Drosophila melanogaster: one gene and its partners. The protein of the gene in region 4 purifies or fractionates together with the protein of the main gene of each other region. This does not show direct contact. Each region holds a gene or a part of one and is shown on either strand. Other genes may lie near its edges.

Region 1 (4,625 bases), 3.1 Mb from region 4:
CAGTTTGGTTCCTTGAATTTTAAGATGTTCTAGTCGGGCTTCCATGGGCACTTCGTTTTGCACTTTCTTCTGCGAGATGGGCAGGGCGCTGTTGTACTCCACATTTTTTTGGTTTACAATGGGCTTCTGGACCTTGGTGGCGGCCTGGTAGCCCGGCTGCTCCTTTCCCTTCTTTTTCGCATAGAGCTTTTTGGGATCGGCGCGCACAATAACGTTTAGTTTCTCGCCATAGTTGGGCGTAAAACGTTCAAACTGCAGCTGTTGGCGACTTCCGTAGCCAAAGAGGATTTCGTGGGAGCGATTTGAGTCTGTCACAAAGTGGGCCGCCACGGCTAGAAGTGGTTCCACTGTTTCGGCGCCATCGGAAACGATCTGCAGCGAAACCTTGGGCTTCACAAACTTCTCTGCGGATAAACTGTGAAACATAGTACTTCAGTACGAGTGACAAAACGTGTATTCACATGACCCACCTGTTCACATTCAACAGGTAAATGTGTATGATGCCATTGCGGGTAACACTGGCCACACGTAGCTGACCATCGTCGCGCACTTCGCTGGTTAGACAGTAGGCCAAGTCCTCCATGAGGAGCGTGCAGGCGGAGGCTTTGTTCTTGCCCTTCTTGTCGATCTTCCAGAAGCAGATTACGCGCTCCATCTTCGCGGTGGTCAAAACGAATTCAGTGCCATCTGTGCTCGCCACGCTGCTGATTGTGTTTATTTCGCCCGAGTGGCCGGTGAACGTTTCCACCAGCTCCTTTGTCTTGATATCGTACACCTTCAGCTGTCGGTAGCCAATGGCCAAGGTGCCACTTTTCTGAAGGTAGACTATATTTTGGGGCTTCTCGGGTCCCACTTGCCATTCGGCGATGGAGCGCTCGTCCGTCAAGGACCAAACAACAACCCTACAATCGGCACCCACAGTGTATAGGTGGCCAGCGTTGTCATTTGTAATTGAGGTCACTGGTCCATCATGGCTGTCGCCACTGAGCGTTCGAGAAATCTGCAAGGATTGCTTGTGGTTTATTCGCCTTCAAGGCTCTTTGTCCGACTCACCTTTCCCTCGGCTAATGAGTATATAACCACTGAGCCCTTGTACGTTCCCAGAGCAATGTGAAGCTGATCACCGGCTGCATCCTGTGCCTGGAGGCTCTTCCGCGACTTCTTGGGCCGGGAACCGGCCACCAAAACCCACGTGAGAGCTGTGCACGACCCGGATAACTGTAGATTGGGCGTAAACTCCTGATACAGCGTGTTCGTCTCTGTGTTCCATATCCGCAGAACTCCCGACTCGTCCACCGAGGCAAATAGTTGGCCACCATTGGGCGAAAATCCCAACACGTGCTTCTTGCCCAGCGACATCGTTTTTTATGTTTTGAATTAGAGATGGGCGCTAAGGCTAGTGTTTACATCGGCTCACACTCGTCGCACTTAATGCAATCTATCACGCAAATGTCACGCACGACTCACGATTGAATTGCATTTACCGACGTTTCCTATACCCTTGAAAGATTTATCAAATTATATGCAAACAAAATTCATCGAGTGAACAATATAATAAACCAATGGGAATGTGAATTTTTTAAATAAACTTTTCAGTTTTTAAATTAAATAATAAAATATTTTACTCTAATTGTTTTAAAATTTCCTCAAAACTTAAAATGAGTAAATTCTTTTGCAACTGTAAATATTACTTATTTGGAGTAACTTATATACATTATCCTGGATTATTTAAGTAAATGCGTTCAAAGACCAAGAAATAAACTCGATTTACAGGATTCTTTGGGGCGTAAACTCCACTGCTGAACTATATTGTTAATTGCATGCTATTCATCATAAACCATTGAGAATCGTTACCTTATTGAAAAAGATCAATTCAAATGTAAAATAAAAATAAAATAGCGCCAGTCACCGTTTACGATAATCGATAGGCAAGTGCCATCGCTATCCCATCCAGAATGTTCGCGGCCACTTTGAGGTTATAACTATAGCTGGAATTTACCGACTGACTCCGTGTGAAATTGAAATCTGTGTTAAAAAATGGCTTTATCCGTTCCCAAGGCTCCCGGTGTGTCGCAGATGCTGAAGGATGGCGCCCGGGTAAGTGCAACAAGGAGGAATAACTCTGCGAGGAGTCCGCCGGGCATCGGTTTCATTGAGATTCGGCTTAAAAGAAAACATGCCGTCTTGCGGAGGCGCGTGATTAGTCATCCTCATGGAACGGGGCTCGACATATGAAAGAAAAATGACTAATTTAATGGCTTTACTTGTGTCCTCAGATGTACAGTGGGCTGGAGGAGGCGGTGTTCCGCAACATCAGCGCCTGCAAGGAGTTTGCACAGACCATGCGCTCTGCCTATGGGCCAAATGGCATGAACAAGATGATCATCAATCACATCGAGAAGCAGTTCGTGACCAGCGATGCCGGCACCATCATGCGGGAGCTGGATGTTGAGCATCCAGCCGCCAAGTTGATCGTCATGGCCAGCCAGATGCAGGATGCCGAGGTGGGCGATGGTACAAACTTCGTGGTGGTGCTGGCCGGAGCTCTGTTGGAGTCCGCTGAGGAGCTGCTGCGTCTAGGAATCACCACTGCCGAGATCTCCGACGGCTATGAAAAGGCCTTGGAGAAGGCTCTGGAGATTCTGCCCAATCTGGTGAGCCACAAGATCGAGGACTATCGCAATGTGGAGAAGGTCAAGGAGGTACTCCGCACATCGATCATGTCGAAGCAGTACGGCCAGGAGGACTTCCTCAACGATTTGGTGAGCAAGGCCTGCGTCTCCATCTTGCCGGATGAGGGCACCTTCAACGTGGACAACATTCGCATCTGTAAGATCTTGGGCAGCGGACTGACCAAGTCTGAGGTGGTTCGCGGCATGGTCTTCAAGCGCTTCGTAGAAGGCGATGTGACCTATGCAGAGAAGGCCAAGATCGTGATTTTCTCCTGCCCCGTCGATATTATCCAAACTGAGACCAAGGGCACAGTGCTGATCAAGTCGGCCGACGAGCTATTGAGCTTTTCCTCCGGCGAAGAGAGCCTGTTGGAGAGCCAGATCAAGGCTATCGCCGACGCAGGTGTCAAGGTGGTTGTGGCCGGCGGCAAGGTTGGCGACATGGCTCTGCACTTCCTTAACAAATACGGTCTGATGGCCGTGCGTCTCAACTCTAAGTTCGACCTGCGTCGCCTGAGCCGATCCGTAAACGCCACTGTCCTGCCGCGCATCACCACGCCCAGTCAGGAGGAGTTGGGCTACTGCGACAAAGTTTGCATCGAGGAACTGGGAGACACCACAATTGTGGCCTTCAGGTGGGATTTTCAATGGAATTAGCGAGAGAAAATACCATTATAATTTCTTATTGAATCATTGCAGGAACGAGGGCAAGGACTCGCGCATTGCCACCGTGGTGATCCGTGGAGCTACCGACAACTTCATGGATGACATTGAGCGTGCCCTGGATGACGCTATTAACAACTTCAAGTGCCTGACCCGGGATGGCCGCTATCTGCCCGGAGCTGGCGCCACCGAGATCGAGTTGGCCACCCAGCTGTCCGCCTATGCTGATACTCTGCCTGGTCTGGACCAGTACGCCGTGCGCAAGTTCGCTAATGCGCTGGAAGTTTTCCCCAAGGCTCTGGCCGAGAACTCCGGCATCAATGGCACGGAAATCGTCAACCAGTTGTATTTGGCCCACAACAACGAGGCCGGAAAGACAATCGGCTTCGACATTGAGGCCGAGAAGGCCAGCACCATCGACACAACGAAGGCAAAGCTCTTCGATCTGTACCAGTCCAAGTTCTGGGGTCTCAAGTACGCTGTTGGCGCGGCCGCAACCATCTTGAAGGTGGACCAGATCATCATGGCCAAGCGCGCCGGAGGTCCCAAGGTGCGACAGGCTGCCGGCAGCGATGACGAGAGTTAAGCGGCTCCTCTGTGATTCGTACTCCCTACTATAACTAGTTTCTCCCGCTCCCACAAAGAGTGCATTGTATTTTCATAAACGAGTCCCATGGAAATTATAAATTTCATTAACCACTCTCACACTCACCCACATACACAGCCATGCACACAGTTTCTTGTATTAATAAACTTAACTTACGAAAACTGAACTGAAACGCGTGATCCTTCGGGGGCCTTTGAAATAAAACAACGTGGTTTTCGCACCGAACCCGGTGCCACCGCTAGATAACGAATCTAAGTAAGTTATCGCTTTTTATTTTTGAAATTTAAGCAAACGATTATTCATTTTGTTGAGTACAATATTTCAAATGCTTATTCGCAGATACATTTCAATAATATTTGTGAGGACTCGTCCCCGTTTGCATCGCAAAAGAGTTGTATTAATTTTCGAATAAAATACGATCTCGTTGTCGCTTTTCATTTGAAGTGAAAGGTGTTAAAGTGTATTCGATGACCATGATTGATTTTGAGTACGTGTGCATCTAATGCCCTTCCTTTCCAAATGCGATTTACCCTCTATGGATAAGTTATAGAAAATGACACATCTGAGGACGAAACCAAACCATCCGTGCTCCATTGGGTGGTTCGGCTGTCCTCGGGCTAATAACATTCAGGGATAACTAAAAAGTTTGGATGCAAAGTGTCCGTTGGATCGAAAACTGTTGA
Region 2 (4,221 bases), on a different chromosome or scaffold from region 4:
TGAAACCACAATTATTTTGTATACAAAGCGATTTTTTTTTTATTGTTGCAAGCGAATACACTTTCCAGCGCAGTGCGCCCCAGTTGCGATGCGCAGAACGTTTTTGCGGGAAACATAGGTCCATAACCAGCTTCTTTTAACCATGTTAAGGCAATGATAGTCTCCAGGTATCTTCGGATTTATGCTAAATGGAGGAATGTACATAACCTTAACTACCCAAACCATGTTTCTACTCCGATGTGCCATGGCATAAACCTAGAATAATGCCATTCGTCGTATATTGTTGTAGTTCTTTTGGTCGGCCTAAATAAATAATCTAAGCGATTCGAATTCTTTATGGTCCGAGCATAGCAGCATACTTACTTGTTTACATAAAATATTAGTTGAAAGTAATCAACGTTAAATGGAGAAGCACATAAGCTTTTAAATAATATTAGTAGACACATAAGATTTAACTAAAACCTAACTTTGGGAAATGTGAAACTAGTGTATTTATAAAATTAGAATTAATATATAAGTAAAAGGCAGCTACAGAACAACAAAAGGATGCTCGTGAGCAAAAGAAGACTATTTAAGTAAACTAGTTATTTAACTAATTGTGAACGTTTAAGTAGCGTGAACAAATAAAACGAAATTGAGCATTTAAGTTACGTTCCTCCACATACGAAGATTTTGGCTTATCGTTTAGAAAATATACCATTTCCTTTGATGGTAAATCAAATTTAATCTATGTCCTTGCAATTCATGCCGTTTTTGTTATGAGCAATTGGATTCTAATGTTATTTAAATATTTGAATGTAGTATTTCGAGCCAACTGGTTTATTCCAACCCAAGTCTACTATGTTTTGGCACACAGCTATAAACGAATGCGATGAATTTCTGCACATATTTTTATAATAAAGAGCTACAAATCGACAAATATCCAAATCTATATACAACAATCTTTTGAAATTACCAAAATTGAATGCATGTATTGTATTCAAAAAAACGTATTTACGCTAGAATTCCTTCTTTCCTCTCGACAGAACCTCGCAAAATAAACTGAATTATCTGCAAAATCCTACTTCTAAAGTTATCTGAAGAGCTTCTTGCAAAAATGTGTTGGGTTAGCAGTTTCAGTTTGGCCGGGCATCGGGTTTACTATACTATTTAGCCACGCTTGGGATCTGAATCCACGTCCGATTTGCACACCACAATCACTGGACCAAACAACAAAAACAAAACAAAAAAAAAAAATAGAGGGGAGCACGGAATTTCACTTGCGTTTGCTTTATAATTGATCGTCATATCATAAAACACACACACATTTTTCAGATGTTGGTTTCTTCTATTGTTAAGGGTATGGATCTTCAGTTGAACATTTTACTGAGTAATTTTTTATACATTAGAAAAAAAAACTGAAGCGCCTGGGTTGTTTAGTTGCGCGATCCGCGTCCGAATCCGCCACGGAACTCGACCTCTCCGGCACCGGGTCCAACATCGCCCTTCTTGTCCACTCCGCTGCCGCCGGGAGCACGTCGGTAGGCGGAGCGATCCTCTCCGGTCTTGGAGGCGTCACCGGGTCCGCGTGGGCCGCCAACGGCGGGACGGGGACGGACGGTCTCCGAGCGGGCAGGGCGCTTCAGCGTCGAGGGCACGATCTCGGGCGGCAGGTGGAGGTAGCTGCGCAGCTCCTCGATTCCCTCGTTGGTGAGGTACCAGTAGTAGTGGCGCCAGGCGAACTGCTCCTTAACCAGTCCGCGCGAGTGGAGCGACTGCATCGCCTTGATCACGTGCAAGTTGGGGATCGACTCCAGTTCCGGGTGCTTCTGGGCATGGAAATCCTTCTTGGCCACGATCACGCCCTCCTTGAAGAGGTACTCGTAGATCGCGACACGATGGGCCTTTGGCATAAACATTCTGCACAAACAACAAAAAAAAAAAATAGCAATTAGATTCGGTTCATTGCCAGGATATATCTACAGATCATCCATGTGGTATCCAATTCACACATTGTTTATTGAGTCTGAAAGACTCGCTTCTTTGTCCACACAAAAAAAAAATGTACACATGCATTCGGGAACAACATTGGGCGCATATTTTCCCGGTGCGGCCGCTTGAAAATGGGGGTTTTCGGCGACAATTACCTGGATTGATTTGCAAACACAAAGTTACACGAACGCGAACGTATCGTAATACTCCCGCTGCAAGTAAAAAAGAGAATTGGAGGTATTTAATAGGGAGTTTTGCTTAAAAATTCGCGGAGCACACGCACTCACCGGAAACGTGAAGACGAAAAGAAAGGGAAACGGAAGGGATGACAAGAAGAAGACGGTGAGCAGTGTGGCCGGACCTTTCGATATGTGTCAGCAATCGATGACGCCGGCAATATATCGATATTATCTTAAGACATAATCCACGAGTAAATTTCGCGATTAAATCAAGTAACTACACTTGCGACACATTTTGACTTAGAATTTTTTGAATTACTTAAAACTGACCACCTTATATTCGTTCTCATAGCTTGTCTTGTATACTTGGGCATTCGATAGCGACAATGGTGCCGGACTTTTTAGTATCGATATCCTTATCGATAAGCCTTAGGCCAAGTATTAAGTTAATACACACACCGCATTTTGCACATGCATCTTATCGATACGTCTTTGTTGTCATAAAATCGCACTTATTTATTGCCAATAAGTATTAGTGATGGCACAGTTAAGCGTTTTTGTTTCGGTAATTCAAGTGTTTCATTTGTAATTATAAAAAAAATCACTCATTTTGTTTTATGAAAAAACAATTAAAATGGATCTTATTATATAAGCTTATTTATTTATTATTTATTTATTATTATTATTTAGTTATTTATTATTTCATTTATAAAACATTAATTTGAACTCAAAACAAAAAAAGTTTTACGACGAACCAGGTAAAACTTTCAATTTTGAGAGTCTCTCAGCAAAGGCCCTCCGCCCTCCCTTCTAGTCAACGAATGAGTAGCCATCTGTTCTCTGAGAATCTGTAGGTTTAACACTAAAGCTGTAAAACAATACAGCTCCCGGGATAGACAAACTTTAGGAATTAGCATTATTATGCAGCAGGATAATGGGCGCCACCGCCCAGACCCCAAGTTTCGACTGGGGCAGCCACAGGTTAGTGGATATCGGGGCGAAAAGTAATCTGTTAGTAGACGCGAAGGTTCTAACTTTTTCCCATCGAAAATTCCGAAGAGGATAAGAAGCAGCACACAGAAAATGTATTAATTAAAATAGAACCGTACAGTTAGGTTAAGCGCACAGTTGGGTTAAGTTAGGTTACACAGTGAGAAGTTCCTGATGAAGTGAACATATACAAATTTGAAATATATATGTACATAGTATATAAAATAATGCTGGATGAACCCTTCCTGACCTAAACCTACATCGGAAAAATTCAAAATCTCCGAACCGCCATTCTGCACTGAGAAAAATTAGGTTATATTTTTAAATCATATATTAGAAGGCTTTACCATAAGTTACCATAAGTTTATGGGATAATTTAAATAAATAATTTGGTTCTCCTCTAAAATATATTTAGCAACCTGTGTCGCATCCATTTAATGACAATTTTCTTGAATACCTTTTATAAAATTTTTCTTGAATTTACGGCAAAAACTAACACCTACTGCCTTATATTTCCTCATCTTACTTTAGTTTGCATTCATTTATTTACTTATTTAATTTATTACTTACCTATTATTACTTATAAATATTGCTATTAATTATTAGTTACCACCATGAATGCAATAAAAAAATGAATTTCTAAAAACTTAAATACTGAACTCGGCTGATGTTTCATCGGACATAGGGTACCAAAGGGGCCGCTAGAGCCATGCCTTTAATGAAAGTGGTCATAGATAGCATAGGGCAATCCGCGAACATAATTAAACCTGTGTTGCGCAGGCAACCAATTCTTAAGCTATTCCTCCTGTTCTAGAACTTCCTCCTCCTTTCGAAAATATTAATTTTCTTCCTCCGATTTTGTATACTAGCTCCTCTATTCCGTTGTTGAAAGCACGCTCAATTCTTGATTTTAATTATTAATGCCTGTAGGGAAAAGGTATTTGTACAAGCAAGACCGCCACACCATGAGCTAGAGCCGGACTTTAAAGCGTGCACCCGCAAGTACAGGTTTCTCCCTTGCCCTTGTCCATAAACTTATTTCGTTACACGTTACAATTTATGCATGAATTGATACCCGTTT
Region 3 (5,963 bases), on a different chromosome or scaffold from region 4:
TGAGTGAAATACAACGAAACAAGAATCGGTCAATAATAGGTATTGAATGCGTGGTGTACATATGTACATATTTACATATAACCATATACATATGTGTATATACTTGCGGCGAACGTCATTACGAGGTGGGCATTTGCATACGCTTAAGTGGCGGACTTGTGCACTTGGTTGGCCCTACCGAATTTTCAGAAGAACGATGAGAACGCTCCGCCGATAAGAGCTAGTCCAATTACTATGGCTAATCTTATCGCGGAAGCATAAACCAATGGAACGTGCTACGATAAGCGTTCAGAGCGGCTATATGTGGCTATACCACCCAGAGCTCTTAATGAGAAACGCAACTCTTGGTTGCACTCGAGACGTGGGCAATTACATCACGATTATGCCAAAGCAGCGGCGGCACACACAAAATTCCGATTGATAGTGAGGTTAGGTCGTGTTATGTTCATGCCGCTGCTCCTCCGATTACCAGGCGGCCATGCAGTCTCTCTCACCTTGACGGAGTCCAGCGGATACATGACCACATGCTCCAGCACGCCCGCAATTGCGCCCGCCGTCATATTGACACCCACACTGGTGGTGGGCAGCGATTCGTAGTCGTCGATGTTCATGGTGGATCCGAACGGTTGCCGTCGCTTTCGATTGTTGAGGCTGCTGGTGGGGCTGCACTATCGACTGTGTTGTGTGCTAATGCTGTGGTTGCGCCCTTGCAGTCGCTGCTCCTCTTACGACAACCTGCTAATCCGGACCAGTTCTGCCAAGTCGCTGTTGCAGTTGCTGCTGCAGAGCCGCTTTCTCCGCTGGGATCGGGTCGCTCCGCCTGTCGAGGATCGGCGTTGGTTAGCGGGCAACTCTTGGCCGGCGTATGTCGGGCACTTTTGGTGCAATTTTGTTGTATAACACGGATAACACGACGATTCACGGACGCACGGGCGGGTGTATTTCGGGGGGTGGTGCTGCTGGCGGAGGCGGCGGCGGTGGCGGTGGTGGTGCAGAGTGTACGCGTGAGGTGGTCTTATGCGAAACTGCTAATTGACACTGCTGTTGCACGACTAGCATACAGACGACATAGAGACGATTCCCCGATTCAACGATTCACGCGAGGAAGCAATTTCTGGTTTAGTTGCTCGCGGCTAAGCTGCTGCTGCTGGAGTGGCGGCTGCGGATCGGTTGTTTTATGAATATATAAGAGTCGGTTTGTGGCCGAAGCGGAATTTTGGCTGGGTCGGTGTTTGGCAACTGACGCAAATGTTGTATGATTACAGCGAATCATTAAATTTCGCCCAATAAACAAGCCTCGTGCCCAGAGTGACCGCAGCGGGAACGTCGCAAAATACCAAAATGGCTCGGGTGAAAATACCAGCACAAGTCCACCCACATGTGGGTGCGGAACCTTAACGCCATGGCAAATAAAAATACCAACATTAAAATATTTAACTTAACATTGTAAAATAAACCGAACGGTACAAAATCATATGTTATATATTCTAAAACGAAATGGATTTCCTTGATCTCTGTCAGGAATTTATATTTTATTTCAATTCATATTTTTATCATTACTTTGCTATATCAATAAGTTCTCAGTTATCTATTTTGGCAGCTTAAAAATTGTATATACACGAAGTTGTTGTGCAACCGACCGAAGAATTTATTATTTTAAAGCTTAGTTGTTGTATACATGAAAAGATACTAATTTGTTTCAAATATAAATCATATATCTACCGGCCTAAGTGTTCCCTTTTGTAAACTATTGATATAAGAATGTAAATTATCAAATTAAATATATTTAACAGTAGAGTTTTGACACTACATCCTCTTGTAAACTAAATCCCAAATAGATTCTATGAATGTATGGGCTTTCAAATAAGCAAACATTAAATTTATTTAAATTACACTATTTTCGTGCTCTGTGCTGTATATATATCCTATTTCCAGTGCAGCCCCTGGTATTTCCTTCCAATGCGCTTAGAATGTTCCAGCGCCGGAATACGGTCACTCTGCGAGGCATTTAAAGGCCTTCCAGCCGCTTGTCGGCGTCAGTAAAAAAAAATCAAAGCAGGCGACGCAAGTGCGGACTAATTTATTGCATCTGTTATTCGTGACGTGGCCTTTCGCCGGACGAACCGATAGCTCGAGCTCCGTAAATCAAGCTACCAAAGATCATGAAGTACTTTTTGCTGGTGGGCCTGCTGCTCCTAGCAGGTAAGTGTGCACATTTGCCACGCCGCATTGAACCGGTGTTTTAACCTAATTATTAATTGGCGTCTGATTCGCGTCTGATTAGGCATCAATCAAATAGCCGCCGATGACGAGGCCGCCACAACGGAGACCATCGACCTTGATCTGGGCTCCTTCAAGGAGGGCTCCCGCACCGGTACGTAGACACGCCCCCCTCTCGCGACGACGAGTTTTGTTTGGTACACGTCAGCGTTGCGATAACCGCCCCCTTTTTCTAATTCCCAATCCCCCAGATGCCGAGACCCTGAAGCGCGAGGAGGAGGCCATCCAGCTGGACGGCCTGAACGTGGCGCAGCTGAAGGAAATTCGCGAGAAGGTGGGTTCATTGCCAGGTCATTTGGAAGGTACACGTATGACCGGGATTTCCTTTCCCTTTTTTCTTTGTCTTTTGTCTGTGCGTGCAGGCGAAGAAGTTTACTTTCCAAACGGAGGTCAACCGCATGATGAAGCTGATTATCAACTCGCTTTACCGCAACAAGGAGATCTTCCTGCGTGAATTGATATCCAACGCCTCCGATGCCATCGACAAGATCCGCCTATTGGCTCTGTCCAACAGCAAGGAGCTGGAAACGAATCCGGAGCTGCACATCCGCATTAAGGCCGACAAGGAGAACAAGGCGTTGCACATCATGGACTCGGGTATCGGCATGACTCACCAGGATCTGATCAATAACCTGGGTACAATTGCCAAGTCCGGCACTGCCGATTTTCTGGCCAAGATGCAGGATCCCAGCAAGTCGGAGGGACTCGATATGAACGACATGATTGGACAGTTCGGTGTGGGCTTTTACTCCGCTTTCTTGGTCGCCGATCGTGTAGTGGTGACCACCAAGCACAACGACGACAAACAGTACATCTGGGAGTCGGATGCCAACAGCTTCAGCATCACCGAGGATCCCCGTGGCGATACTCTGAAGCGAGGATCCGTGATCTCGCTGTATCTGAAGGAAGAAGCCCAGGACTTCCTGGAGGAGGACACCGTGCGCGAGCTCATCCGCAAGTACTCGCAGTTCATCAACTTCCCCATCCGCATGTGGTCCAGCAAGACCGTCGAGGAGGAGGTGCCCGTGGAGGAGGAGGCCAAGCCCGAGAAGAGCGAGGATGACGTGGAGGATGAGGACGCCAAGGTCGAGGAGGCCGAAGATGAGAAGCCCAAGACCAAAAAGGTTTCGAAGACCACCTGGGACTGGACCCTGATCAACGACAGCAAGCCCATCTGGACGCGCAAGCCCGCCGAAGTGACCGAGGATGAGTACACTAGCTTCTACAAGAGCCTGACCAAGGACTCCAGCGAGCCCCTGACCCAGACGCACTTCATCGCCGAGGGCGAGGTGACCTTCAAGAGTTTGCTCTACGTGCCCAAGGTGCAGCCATCGGAGTCCTTCAACCGCTACGGCACCAAGTCCGACAACATTAAGCTGTACGTGCGCCGTGTTTTCATCACCGACGAGTTCAACGACATGATGCCCAACTACCTGAGCTTCATTCGTGGCGTCGTCGACTCCGACGATCTGCCCCTGAACGTTTCCCGCGAAACTCTGCAGCAGCACAAGCTCATCAAGGTGATCAAGAAGAAGCTGGTCCGCAAGGTTCTCGATATGCTGAAGAAGATCGACAAGGAGGCGTATGAGAAGTTCTGGAAGGAGTTCTCCACCAAGTAAGTGTCGCTTTCTAGGAATTAAGAAACGTTCTTTGCCTGTTCAAATAATTAGTTATTTATGATAAGCATTTCCGCAGAATCCATTATAATATGGAGAATAGAATGACGTGTATTATTTTTTGCCAACAAATTAATATATTTAGTTTGTTGCTTTAAAGAATTCCGCGCTGATAAGATAAGGAAATCCACGTAGTATTATAATATTGGCACTGGTGACGTGTAGAGTTTATACTTAAATATTTTATTTTAGTTAAATAAGCATTTCCATTAGCTATAACCTCGAATTCTTGGATTTTCGTTGCTTATCAAGACTTAATTGACTCATTTCAGCATCAAATTGGGCGTGATGGAGGATCCCAGCAACCGATCGCGTCTCGCCAAGCTGCTCCGCTTCCAGACCTCCAACGGCAAGGGCGTCACCTCGCTGGCGGAGTACAAGGAGCGCATGAAGGCCAAGCAGGAGCACATCTACTACATCGCTGGTGCCAACCGCGCTGAGGTCGAGAAGTCGCCGTTCGTCGAGCGTCTGCTGAGCAAGGGATACGAGGTGCTGTATCTGGTGGAGGCCGTCGACGAGTACTGCATCTCCGCGCTGCCCGAGTTCGATGGCAAGAAGTTCCAGAACGTGGCCAAGGAGGGATTCCAGCTGAACGAGTCCGAGAAGAGCAAGAAGAACTTCGAGTCGCTAAAGAGCACCTTCGAGCCGCTGGTCAAGTGGCTGAACGATGTGGCACTCAAGGATCAGATCTCCAAGGCCCAGGTTTCCGAGCGTCTGAGCAACTCGCCATGCGCCCTCGTGGCCGGCGTCTTCGGCTGGACCGGCAACATGGAGCGTCTGGCCATGTCCAACGCCCACCAGAAGTCCGACGATCCTCAGCGCACCTACTACCTCAACCAGAAGAAAACGCTCGAGATCAATCCCAGGCATCCGCTGATGCGCGAGCTGCTGCGCCGCGTGGAGGCCGACGAGGCCGATGACACCGCCAAGGACATGGCTGTGATGATGTTCCGCACCGCCACCCTGCGGTCTGGATACATGCTCCAGGAGACTTCGCAGTTCGCCGACAGTATTGAGCAGATGATGCGCCAGACCTTGGGTGTCTCCCAAGACGAGCAGGTGGAGTTCGACGAGGAGGAGGAGGATGATGCCGAGGAGACCGCCACCGGCAGCCAGGAGAGCGGCAACGCCGATGATGAGGAGGAGGAGCAGCAGCACGACGAGCTGTAAACTACTTCACCTCACCCACTGTCCAAATAGATTGTACATAAGAGTGTGAAGTTCAGACTGAGTTTTAAACCGCCACCGGGTGGCCGGGCGGGCACTCCATCAACATTACACGCTAGATTCTAAGTAAAATAATTTCGTAGTCCTTCGCCCACGCCGTCATCACCGCCAGTCGCCCAGAGAGCACTCCACCATTTCAGCCAGCACACTTGGTTGCTCAAGCGTTTTCTTTTTTCGAAAGCAAGTGAATTATGTATTTATACAATGTAATATGCTTAGTACACAACAGATTCCAATCAAAACAAATAAAGACAAATGAATTTAAAACTAAAACAACTGCCTATTTAATATGGCGCGCAATGTAAAATTTCCGCAATCGGATACCAAAAAATAGTTAAAAAGTGAATTGATTGCTCGATCAGTCAAGATCGGAACTCAGCGGCTCATCGTTCAGGGCCCTCAAGTAGGTGTTGTACTTCATCTGGTCGCGGATCTGCTGCACGGCCTCCGATTGGGACAGCGTGTATGTGTCCATAAAGAGGCGCACTATCCACAGCGGGAGCAGTCCGTTCACCAGCAGCGACGTGTGGTTCTGGTAATCGGGACATGTTAGGATGGATATGTGTGTCACTCCAGGACGCCCCAAACTTACGCTTCGACTGCTGTAGACCTCGCCCAGTTTCTTGAGCATCTGCTGGTGAATGCTCTTGCTCAGTATGTCGATGACGTCCATGTGGGCAATGTTCATGTAGTGACTGGTGCGCGGCTTGAACTCGCGCTCCTTGAACAGCTTATCGAAGTCGCTGCGATAGTTTTCGAACGTATTCAGCACCTCGTCCT
Region 4 (4,682 bases):
GCATCCGCCTTCCCGCCTTCACGGCGTTTCATTTGTGACATCAGGGCGAAATCGCAATCTGCGCGCGGTCGCAGCTTTTCCGACAGCTCGTCGATAAACTCTCGTACCACTTCGGGTTTCTCCATCGTGCTACCTTTGAGTGCCCGGTGTGCATATGTATCGAAGCCACAGCTACGCGCCAGTTCATGCCGGCAAAGCAGTAGGTCTCGGAGAAGATCCTCCTGGCTCTTTGACGGCTGCAGGTACAACCGGTAGGCAGCCTCCCGCATCTGAACGTTCTCTGCGTTTGTGCACAGTCCAGTGATAATTACATTTTCCCCAGAGGTAGGAAAGCTGACAAAAAAAAATCTTTAGTATAGCCCAGATAGTGTTATATGTGAACTTACTAGTTACGAAAGGACTCAGGGACTTGGCTGCGTGGAAGAACACTAGGTTGCACAGCTCCACTCATGAACTTCTGGCCGAGCTGAAGAATATAGTCATTTAGCCGCACAACACGCATACGTTCCTCCTCGGGCAAGTGAATTCCACACTGCTCAAAGTCGAAAAGGAACAAACGCGACACATGTCTGTCCACTTCGCTGGTGGGCAGCTTATCTCCATGATCCACTACGTGGCTTAAAGCCTTATAGATGGGCTTATGCGTGTTAAGGCTCTCGACCATTCCGCAAATGCTTATGCAGGCCTGCTCTGCTGCTTGGGTGTATCTGCTCTGAGGATGCGCGATACGAACAAACTCTGCGAGGTCCGCCACCTTGCACAATGAGTCAGAAAGCTCGTCAAAAATGTCGACCATCTTTCGACGTCGTTGATCGGAGGTGGCCTCGGAGATCAGCTCCTGCGTCCGGCTTTCCACATTGTCTCGAAGGAGATAGAAGCCCTCAAAACTCCGCAGTTCGGGCATGCCAAAGAGGCCCTACGGGAAAAAGGCCATGTATGCCTAGTCAGAGGTCCTGCGTTTTACAGACTTTGGGTCTTACAACATCGTCGTGGGTGAAGTTGATCCGCCTAGCCGGTGGCGCATTAAACGCCGTAGCCAGCGGCGTCCACGTAGAGACTCTGCGACTGCAGTGCCGCGTTCTCCAGCGCAGCAATGTTCGACCAAATTCTAGCATGGCACTTCCCCAATTTCGGATCACTTAAATTGCTTGTTTATAACGAAATGGTTACATGAGAAGTCAGCTGCCGGTGAAGTCAACCCGATGTTGCCAGACGTTTTGCTTTTCGATTACAGACATCAATTAACTGCATGTGCAGCTGTATAGAGTTGAGTTGTGTTAACAGTATTTTTCTAAAGCTGTCACCAGTTTAACTAGGATTAGTTTAGATATTACAGAAAAATAAATGTTAATTAAGCTTAAGCGAGTCCTATTTTAGGAATACAAAAAGAATAATATTCCTATTAAGACTGAGTTGCAGGGTATCCCGAAAATGATGTTATTTGATAAATATTTACAAGCAAAAACCCAATTTTATTTGTAAATAAATATAATTATAAAAAAAGCTGTTATACGTAATATGTAAGTCTTCGTTTAACTTGAGGTACAGATATACAACTGATTATGATTTACATCACATATAATAAGTGATATATTGGTATTTTTGAAACCCGTATAATATAATTTATCGATAGTTGATATTTGCGATATTGTCATTCTTGTCCATCCCTATCCAGCATCTCGTTCCGCGCGTGGCTCGTTTGCCGGCACGATGGATTCTATTCTTTGCATGATTTTGCTGATTTTGGTAAGAAATCATGCTTCTGAGGCAGCTAGGTTGAACCACCCGCGTGTGTTACTACCAATATTCGAAGACAAGGCAATAAACTTTACCCTGGAAGTCGACGAGCCGAACTGCTACAAATGGTAAATCGGCGTCATACAGATATAATTTTATAACTTCTAGAACTACTACTACTACTATGCTGAACTTGCAGGTCGTCCTCACGCCAGGACTTGATATCTGTCATGCCCATTTACAAGGGCTTCAGCGAATGTGCATACCAGGCGGTGGTGACAGTCCGCACTCACGATCGTCGGAGGAACACTGCAATCGTCTTCGCCGAGGAAGTACAAACGGGCGAGACGCTGCGTTCCGACGTGATTGTGGATGTCATTGCTAGTCTAAATGTGCGCACCGCCACTCGACAACTTTACCTGGAGGAGGCGCCCGCCATGTTCGAGCTGCACGCCTTTGATGAACAAGGCAACGAGTTTTTTACCTTGGAGGGAATCGAGTTTGACTGGGAGATTTTGGAACCCGGTAGCAAAAGGCCCACCGCAATGCGATACCTCACGTTCACGGACAGTCCGTACCACACTGTACCGCCCACCATTGAAAAGTTTGAAGCCGACGGCAAGAAGGGGCACATGATCCTCCTTGAGGGCATTAATACTGGCACCGCCAAGGTGACCATCGCCATGCCTCAGGCCGAGTACAAGCATGTGCGGCCAGTTGAGGTGTACATCAGCGTTCTTGCAAACATTATAATTGAGCCTTCCGAAGTCACCATAATGGCTGGAGACTCCGTCTCATTTCGCATTCTGCAGCTGAAGATGGACCGACTGCACGTTATAGACAACAATCAGTATTATTTGGAGGTGGAGGACTCCAGCATTGCATACCTTCGTGGAAACAGTGCCACCGGAGCGGCTCTGGGTCGCACCCAGGTCTTTCTGCGAGACCGCAACATGGCGGACTCTGATGAGGTCCAAAAGGGACCCAGCGCTCTATTGACTGTGGCATATCCGAATAGGTTGTCCATCAGTCTGTTGCCCCATCTCAATTGGGTGACAGTACAAGGCGAGCATCACGCTATAGCATTGGATCTTTTTGCTGCCGACGGTCAGAAGATCACAATGGGCACTAAATATTCAATCAACTCAGAGGTGGATGAATCCTTTTTCGCCATTGTTGATCGTACTCGCAACGGAAGCCGCCTTTTCGGTCAAGCAAAAAAAGAGGGAATCACTCAGGTGTATGGCTCATATAAAGACGTAAGTTTATAACTAAAATGTTTGTTATATATATTACTCTAGAAAATATGTGCATAGATATAACCCATTAAAAAGAATCGCGGTATTATCATATAATTAGGCGTTTGTCCACTTCTAAAAACTAAATATTATCTAACAAAAAAAAAGCCATTAATTAAAATTTGTTTTTATTGCTTGCCGACCGCTAAAAATAATTCATTTCGTTTGCCCACCTCTTTTATAACGAAGTAAATAAAATATTAAATAAGTCAAATAAATATCTATTTTTATAAAGTCAACCGCAGTGATATGTAGAATTTTAAATTGTTTGCATTTTTTATAGAAGGTTAACTCAAAATAATAGTCCAAAAGTCTATTTGTTATATTAAAAGTTCTTATAATATTGTTATTTATGTTGCAGCTGTCGGTACAAGCTGAGCTTCAGATATTTGAGGAGCTTCAGTTAGCGCCAACCAAGGTGGTGTTGCCATACGATCCTAACAGCTTAAAACCTTTAAAGCTGCAGTTTCATGCATCTGGCGGAGATAACAACTACGCTTGGTTCTCCGGAAATCCACAGGTGATCCAGATTGACACCCAGGGCCAAGCCACAACTGAAATCCGCGACGTGAAATCCGCTTACGTGAACCAGGAGGTACTGAAAGATGGTGGTAAACTGACCGCCCACACCACCGTCAAGGTGGCTCTATCCAAGAACCAGAAAATTTCCCGTGTGGCACATATCTACTTTCTCCCCCCTGAGCGCCTTCAGATCACGCGGAGCAACTTTGAGACCGCCCTGAAGGACTTCGTACACGTGCATGTGGGCGTATACGCTCGAATAAATAATTCAGAGGTTCCCTACACAAGTTGTGATAATCTTCACTTCCAACTAGACTTCAGCCAGCCCATTCTGCAGTTGGAGGGTAATGAAGGGGCGGAGGCTGCTCACGAGGCGTGTCATGTGCTTCGGTTGCGGGCCACCGCTGTGGGCACCACCTCGCTACGCGTTTCCTATATGTATATGGACAAAGTGCTTTACGACATTATTGATTTGTATGTCTTTGAGCCATTAGTCGTGCTAAATCCAATAGAAAACGAGGTTGTTCTTCCCGTTGGGTCATCCCGTAATATAATTTATGCTAATGGGCCGCAGCGCAGTTTTACGGTGGCAGCAGAAATCATACAATCTACCGCTTTTGATGAAAAAATATTAAAAGTGTCTAAATTAGAGTTCGACACGCAAAATTTGATAACTGCGTTCACCGTGCTGTGTCGTGAGCTGGGCGAGACGCAGTTCACTTACCGAGTGCATAATAGCCTTCCCACCTCAAGCTTTGCCTTATATCAATCGGAGGTGACCACAAAGGTGCATTGCGTCCGTCCTCGCTTCCTAAAGCTCTACGCTCGCCATAACCTGCGTGACTCCTGCCCCCTGGAGAAGCGCACCTCGTTATTATTCCTGAAAGATCCAGAGAATAAAATTGAAATTGAAATCGAGGTACACGATTCAAATAATCGTAGGCTCATGAATATCAGCTCACTAGGGCTTGACTGGGAGTTTTCCGCTGGTGAAGAGCGATACCAGAAGAACATTATCCCGCACCGTCAGATTTCTGAATTGGAGTTCAATCATGGAGTTACCCTGCCGAGTCGCGACCTTCTTGTCTTGACATTGAGTGAAGTGGCGACCAACTTCCGCATTAA

What was found.
Region 1: the proteins of Gp210 (region 4) and CCT8 purify together in Drosophila melanogaster (affinity purification with mass spectrometry, with the first as the bait; one large-scale study listed by BioGRID). This does not show direct contact.
Region 2: the proteins of Gp210 (region 4) and RpS10b purify together in Drosophila melanogaster (affinity purification with mass spectrometry, with the first as the bait; one large-scale study listed by BioGRID). This does not show direct contact.
Region 3: the proteins of Gp210 (region 4) and Gp93 purify together in Drosophila melanogaster (affinity purification with mass spectrometry, with the first as the bait; one large-scale study listed by BioGRID). This does not show direct contact.

Annotation. Positions count from the first base shown.
Region 1 is NT_033778.4:8,904,325-8,908,949, reverse strand, and holds CCT8 (chaperonin containing TCP1 subunit 8), read left to right. Parts: upstream 1-1,959; 5' UTR 1,960-2,037; coding exon 2,038-2,097; intron 2,098-2,276; coding exon 2,277-3,307; intron 3,308-3,371; coding exon 3,372-3,921; 3' UTR 3,922-4,106; downstream 4,107-4,625. Other genes in the region: CG30349 (uncharacterized protein), read right to left, coding at 1-415, 471-1,000, 1,054-1,359.
Region 2 is NC_004354.4:19,596,111-19,600,331, reverse strand, and holds RpS10b (ribosomal protein S10b), read right to left. Parts: upstream 2,293-4,221; 5' UTR 2,255-2,292; exon of another isoform or gene 2,184-2,254; 5' UTR 2,127-2,183; intron 1,908-2,126; exon of another isoform or gene 1,900-1,907; 5' UTR 1,899-1,899; coding exon 1,416-1,898; 3' UTR 526-1,415; downstream 1-525.
Region 3 is NT_033777.3:27,946,700-27,952,662, forward strand, and holds Gp93 (glycoprotein 93), read left to right. Parts: upstream 1-2,011; 5' UTR 2,012-2,162; coding exon 2,163-2,202; intron 2,203-2,284; coding exon 2,285-2,374; intron 2,375-2,471; coding exon 2,472-2,554; intron 2,555-2,642; coding exon 2,643-3,895; intron 3,896-4,228; coding exon 4,229-5,126; 3' UTR 5,127-5,452; downstream 5,453-5,963. Other genes in the region: mfrn (mitoferrin), read right to left, coding at 495-611; CG4951 (uncharacterized protein), read right to left, coding at 5,542-5,715, 5,776-5,963.
Region 4 is NT_033778.4:5,759,198-5,763,879, forward strand, and holds the start of Gp210 (glycoprotein 210 kDa), read left to right. Parts: upstream 1-1,664; 5' UTR 1,665-1,710; coding exon 1,711-1,865; intron 1,866-1,936; coding exon 1,937-2,996; intron 2,997-3,396; coding exon 3,397-4,682. Other genes in the region: CG7791 (uncharacterized protein), read right to left, coding at 1-333, 387-916, 981-1,115.